2 linked regions of the Caenorhabditis elegans genome follow. The protein of the gene in region 1 purifies or fractionates together with the protein of each later gene. This does not show direct contact. Each region holds a gene or a part of one and is shown on either strand. Other genes may lie near its edges.

Region 1 (3,896 bases):
GACCATGTGTGTTATGTTCAAAGGAAATATTATGGACACAATTTTCAAGGGATTCGATGGACTTAAGAAGAATCTTGAACCAGTTTCATTTTGTAAGCACGTACCTTTCTGTAAATAATTGTTTTCTGTCAATTATCAACTTGTTTCTCATAAAATTATTTTAATACAAACATATTAGTAGTATATTTTTATATTTCCAAAAATTGAAGTCTAGTTACCCTGCACGTGTTTTTTGGTTTTCAAGATACATATATCTTTTTCTATAAACTTGCACAATCAATTGATGAAGTTTAAGACACGTTTGTTATCAAGTTTATTATGAACTCAGCTGACTTAAAACATTAAAAACATCCGTGTTTTTGTATACAGGCAAATTAAATTGCCGATTTTTGGTTGTTCTTTTGGCTCTGACGCTGTCTTCTTCTGGGTGGAAATTTAATTTCAATTTTTGGCTCAAAAGCTGTGAGTAAAATGTGATCGACGTTGAACAGTTTTTTTTTCCTGAAAACTGCATATACACAGCCTTAATGAATTATTTATTCAAAACAAAAGTTAGTTATTGTACAAGATAAATCGAGATCATTGAATTTTTCTTGACAATTTCTTCCATTTTGGCGGGAAATAGTCTTCTTGGTTCGCCGTTCTATTTTTCGGGAACATGTCTGGATCAAAATAGAACACGTGGCTATTGTCATCTTTTGCCAAATATCCCATCCACCATCCATGTGTTGAATATGGAACTGTCAAGAATACAACATCACAATAGATTCTTGAAAAAATAATTTGCATTTCTGGTGAAGAACTGATCAATGAAAACTGAAAAATGATAACAAATTATTAAGAAAGTTTGTACTTACTAAACTCACTTTTTCAGTTTTGTATTTTCTGATTCTCGAGTTCGTAAAAATGAAACGAGTAAATTCCGGAAACGGGCTAGCAATTATCAACATAACATCCTCATATTCATTGGTATCTGAAAACGAACGGCTAAAAATGGTCAAGTTTCAATTAATTTACAATGATTCAGAATTTGTGCAATTGCTTTAACACTGCAGTTCTTATTGCTTTCTAATGTTGCATGCACACAAATTCTGAAATAAATAAATAAAAATAAATTTTAAAATGATCAAAATGCTTACTTGAAGTTGTTCCGTTGAGATTTTGTAATCAAATTTTGTGCTTCTAGAACACTTTCGGCGTCTTCCAATACCCACAAGCGAATGTCAGAACGCAAATTATCAAAATATTTAAAACTTTTGAATCCGTTCCCTGAATAAAAAACAATAGACTTCCAAACTATATTGATCACTCAAACCTTTGACCATCAGACTTGAAGATGTGTCCTCTGAGAACTTTGTAAGAGGATCTTCGTACGAACTATTCTCGATTCCAAGTTCTCTATTCACTGCTGTTGGCTAAAAATCAAATTTATCATCATTTGAAATAATACATTTAATTGTGAAAATTTTTATAAAAATGCACTTACTGGTTCAATAGCAATTAAAAATTGTTGCAGAATCGATGGAAATCTTGTAAACATTGCGTTTGAAAGAGTATCGATTAATTTTGAATTATTAGCAGAATTGATAACTGGAATTCGATAAAGAGTTTTTGCAACACCAAGATGAGAAAGTAGAGAGAATAATTGATCGCCTAAATGGAAATTTATTTTAAAGTATGATTTAAAAGATTACTTGCCTATTTCTCCAGTACTATGCTGAAATCGAATGGTCTTCTGTCTTCGAGAATATCTTCCAAATTGTGTCCGCTTATGAGGATATAGTGAAATGATTATAAGAAGAAGCACGATAATTGATATGATGCATATGATTCTTGATGAATTTAAATTACGTCTTCTTAAGAACATAGTTGGTTGGAACTGCAAATGGCTTTCCAAATCCCCGCAAAAAATATCCAAATACGTGAGTAGTACTGATAGTGAGTACCCGTGGAGGGTCTTTGTTTGTTTTCGTTCACTAACTCACTTCAAAAATAATAATGCAAGTTTAATATTTAAAAAAAAGTAAAATTGTTGAATAAAGAATTGACTGTCATGGTGAATAGAATGTCAGTGAACAAGTTCAAAGTGATAAGAGTCTACTTATATTGACACAAAAGATCAATAAAAGGGTGTAGCACTGGAAGAAAAGGTGTTTTAAACAAACATTACATTTATTTATATATAGTTACAGCGTTTTTTATTATCTAAAAAAACTCAATTTCCAGAATATTCGTCCATTTTCAATGTTGGTTCACGTCATAAGCCATACTTTAAGCCAAGCCAATATTTACCAATGTTTAAAAAAAGGTAACAAAAATAGTTATGAGCAGTATTCAGCACTGCCATCTGATTTCGGATATCTTCTGAGTTCTACACGATCTTAAATTTCTGGCTAGATTTTACTAGTTAAATGTAACTTTTTTGAATAAGAGATAATCTGTATAAAAAAACTTTCAAATGCGATGCATTTATTCTTCCATAATTATACCACGAAAATACAATAAATACATAAATTATACAATAAAAAAACTTCAATCTATACCATCCTTTAGATCAATTGCATGAGACGATACAGGAAGAGCACCTTCGTTTCATCTGATAAATTCCAGAACACTGCCGAGTTCTTGAGGTTCTTCATTTTTTGAGTAGTGTCCACTTCACTGATAATCTTTTCGATGATTGTACGCAAATTGAATTTGTCTGCCAAACGCATCAATTGATCCTGCTTCATTTTCGAAAAGTGGCACAAATGAGTCTCGATATGAGCCGTTACACGTGGCACCTGAAATTGATCGGCCAGCTCCAACATCTTTTCCAAATTATCATCTGAAATAATGAATTCATATTAGTTTGAAGGATTGGATCACCTTTCAATAAAGCTTCATTTCCATACAAAACTGCCAGCATTCTCGAGAAATCTTCATATGAAACTTCATACATTGGGATTTCAGTCAACTTTCCTTCTTTGAAATTCGAGGAGAACAGAGCTCGAAAATATTCAGAATGGAAGCTCAGCAACTGGAAAATTATAAATATAGGACACTGCAACTGCAAAAAAACATCTTACAGCTTTATTGACATGCATCTTTGTACCTCCGATCACTAAAACGGCATCATTCCTTTCAGATGGCTTGAAAAGTTCTTCCAAAGTTAATCCAGAATAATCGGATTCTTTGTAGAAAATTTTGTACTTGAAAGGAATGTTGTACAACCAGTCTTTAGAAGTTTCCAAATTAGATGTGCTGCGTTTTTCATCAACAGAAAAATCAATGCTTGGAACCAACTTGTCGTTGGTTTCCGGGGTGATTGTTCCAAACAAATGCTTGACCCCTTTCTTCTTCAATTCGTCCCATTTTAATTCCCATTCAAATCTATACTTATTCGAAGTAGTTTCTGAGACAAACAATGAGCTGAAAAAGTATTGTATTAGCCGAAGTGGAAAAATCTTGAAACTCACACATTGATTCCTCCACAGTTTGTATCACAGAATTTTCCAAGCACTGATTTAATCGAATATTTGTCGCTGTTGACTTCAACACATTTTATCTTCATTTTTTTTCGAAGTAGTTTCGTTTCGAAGTTTCGAAGTTTTCAAATTCTAACGAAAACAATTAGCACTGATCAAAAACTGAAGAGGAAGAAAAACTCGTGGGACACGTGGAAATAAAGCCAGATGTACGCAGAACGAGTGTCACGCTATTATGGCCTGTAATTAAATTTTTTTTATTAATTTTGAAATGTTTAGTTTACAGTAATAAGTGAAAATTTGTTAATAAGTGTCTCGCATATTCGTGGAAGTTGATCATCAAGCTTTAAAAACTATTAGCGACAAGAATCCGCTTGAAAAATCATATCTCGATGGGACTTCACGGGAACCGCAGAGGTAGAACAACAG
Region 2 (2,874 bases), on another chromosome or scaffold:
CCATCATATTTTGATACCTGAGTTTCAGCCAGCTTAACAGTTTTTTCATTAAAACCGAACACAAATTCAACGGCCCACTAGTTACTCATAACCTAAACATTGGCAGGTGTTCTCTTACATAATCTGTTATAAACAAATGGATCGTCTCAATTTCCAATCAGGTATCAATGACATAAACAAATTATTCACCCTCCACCGTGCAACTCCATTAATTTCATTTCATTTTCGCAACAAATGATACCTAACTTACAGTTATTTCTTTCATTAATACTATTCGGCTTATTAAATCATGTATCTTCAATTGACTATGAAGAAATACACATCGAAGATTCATATGAAACAAGGTAACGAATCCTTTAATTTTTTTTCAAAATTACGTCCGAAAACATTTCAGATCACGTATTCTAATGGTTGATGGAAATGTGTGGTTGCATGCCGGAAAGGATAAAAATATAACGTTCAAAACGACTGGAAATGGAAGAATATATGTGGACGAAACAGATGTTTCCAAACTTCCAGATATTGTAGGTAGACTGCTGAAATTATCCAAAAAAAAAATGAACGAGCTTCTACAAAACATTTATTTTTGATACGTTGCTTTGCTTAACACACAGATTTCTTATTTAGTAGAGGCTTATGCCGATGGTTTCTTGGCAGCTTCCACTTCAATAAATTTGATGAGATCAGCTCGTTCGTCAGCTTTCTTCAAACCAGCGAAGACCATCTGAAAATTTCTTATTAATACTCCATCGCACTTCCTAGAAAATCCTACCTTAGTTCCGGGGATGTACTTTTTCGGATCAGCCAAATAGTCGAAAAGTGTTTGTCTGTCCCATACAACTCCTTTATTCTTGTTGGCAGCCGAGTAGTCAAATCCAGCAACTTGTCCGGATTGTCTTCCAATCACTCCGTTCAATGTTGGTCCAGTCTTTGTTTGCAATGAGTTGACAACGTGACATTGCTCGCAACGTTGTTTGAAGATCTGAAAATCAATAGGTTTTCTGGGAACACTATAATGAAAAATTTAACTAACCTTCTTTCCTTTCTCATTGTCTCCTTCTGGAATAGCTCCACCGGATGCCGTATCAGACTTCTTCTTGCCCATGTTTCAAGAACTGATTAAAACATAGACGGTCAGATTAGAAAAAGGAACGAAACGTGGATTACGAGTAAGAGTTGGAATTAGATAGTCGGAGATCACGCAAAAATTTACTTTTTGACAACTATTTAAAAAGAATCACTTTCCTGAGAAACGGTCACGTAAATTTTGATAATTAAGTTCTATTATTTTTATAAAACTTTTCAAAATGAATAATTGTTTGAAAATGTTTGAACTATGGAAGTTTTTGAAAATTAACTCGAATTACAATTTTCAATATTCAAAATAATTTTCAGGCATCTTTCAAGCAACTTGTTGGACGTATTGAGAACACTTCTCAAATGTTCACCACTTTGAAAAGTCGCCAGGACACGCAGACTTCTGCAATGAGAGTGGTTTTAAATTCTGCAAAACATTATCTAGTAGCGGTAATTCCATACATTTTTTTCTCTTTTTGAAATCAATTTTTAGCTTCGAAATATGACACTCGAAGTGAATATCTTGAAGAAGTGGAAAACTGATAAAATGGCCAGAGACATGAGGAGACGGGGATTATTGGTGAAAATGACACGTCAAATCATGTAAGACACAACAAGTTAGGTTTGACTATTTTTTATAAATTGTTAACTTTCAAGAGGAATCAACAAATTGATAGCAATAAACGCGTGCGATCCGAACAAATGTAGTAATGGAGGCACATGTATCCCATCTTTTGGCGCCAAATTCACTTGTCTTTGTCCTCCACATTTCACCGGTACAACTTGTGAAGCTGACATCGATGAATGCTCAGTATACAATGGTACAACTGCTGGATGTCAGAACAATGGAACATGTATCAATAACCGTGGCGGATTTGAATGTCAGTGCCAATCCGGATATCATGGATCTCTTTGTCAGTATCATATGTCCGCTTGCTCGAAAACTTTTGAATTGTGTGGTCCACATGGGCATTGTATTGAGAGTATTGTGGATCCAACTGGTCAGTCATCTTCCGATACAACTACGTACAAGTGTATTTGTGATTGGGGTTTCAAGGTTTCAAGTGATAAGAACAATCCAACGTGTGTTGATGTCAATGAATGCGAATCAAATCCATGTCATCCAGGAGTTGATTGTATTAATTTGCCTGGATCGTTTGTGTGTTCCGGATGTCCAAAAGGATATAAAAGTAAGTTAGAATTATATATGTTCAATCAAATCAAAAATAAAATAATTTTTTTGGTTTAATTCTTGTCTAGAAAATATATACTCGTATCCAAAACGTTTTCATAAAATAGGTAAGTAGGCATTTAAATAGGTCAATAGGTGTGTGGTAGGCATGAGGTAGACACGTACGCCTGAACAAGTGCCTACCCTGTATAACACTTACAAATTTCAAGCTTTTTTTGTGAAAATACTTGTTTGGATTTCTCAGTTCCGAGAATGAGGAGAGAAAGTCTTATAAACTTCGGCTTAACAATGTGAAAAATCAGAATTTGTTAGTTTGAAGGTGTCGAAAAATGTACTGAATATCTGTCATTGAAATCCAAAAAGTAAAATAAATTCAGCCGATGGAAATGTTTGTATTGATGTCAACGAATGTGAAGGTGAAATTCGTGTATGCTCTCCGCTTTCAAAATGTCATAACACTCTTGGCAGTTATTATTGTGATTCGTGTCCGACTGGATACTCCGGCGATGGAGGAAATTGTGTGAAAGATGATAGTTGTGTCAAAAACAAATGCCATAAATTAGCAACATGCAAGGTAACTGACGACGGATACAGTGCTGTTGGAG

What was found. Proteins that work in one complex are often made in the same cells at the same time.
Region 2: the proteins of T25D10.1 (region 1) and cyc-2.2 fractionate together in Caenorhabditis elegans (co-fractionation; one large-scale study listed by BioGRID). This does not show direct contact.

The regions. Positions count from the first base shown.
Region 1 is NC_003280.10:6,401,662-6,405,557, reverse strand, and holds T25D10.1 (uncharacterized protein), read right to left. Parts: upstream 2,158-3,896; 5' UTR 1,868-2,157; coding exon 1,699-1,867; intron 1,654-1,698; coding exon 1,487-1,653; intron 1,416-1,486; coding exon 1,316-1,415; intron 1,270-1,315; coding exon 1,140-1,269; intron 1,092-1,139; coding exon 1,018-1,091; intron 974-1,017; coding exon 867-973; intron 817-866; coding exon 580-816; 3' UTR 518-579; downstream 1-517. Other genes in the region: spp-11 (Saposin B-type domain-containing protein), read left to right, coding at 1-118; btb-2 (BTB domain-containing protein), read right to left, coding at 2,550-2,827, 2,869-3,019, 3,069-3,411, 3,459-3,553.
Region 2 is NC_003283.11:12,611,113-12,613,986, forward strand, and holds cyc-2.2 (putative cytochrome c 2.2), read right to left. Parts: upstream 1,107-2,874; 5' UTR 1,106-1,106; coding exon 1,034-1,105; intron 983-1,033; coding exon 773-982; intron 725-772; coding exon 635-724; 3' UTR 570-634; downstream 1-569. Other genes in the region: cubn-1 (Cubilin homolog), read left to right, coding at 235-344, 395-524, 1,396-1,527, 1,571-1,680, 1,735-2,267, 2,647-2,874. UniProt on the Caenorhabditis elegans protein: Electron carrier protein. The oxidized form of the cytochrome c heme group can accept an electron from the heme group of the cytochrome c1 subunit of cytochrome reductase.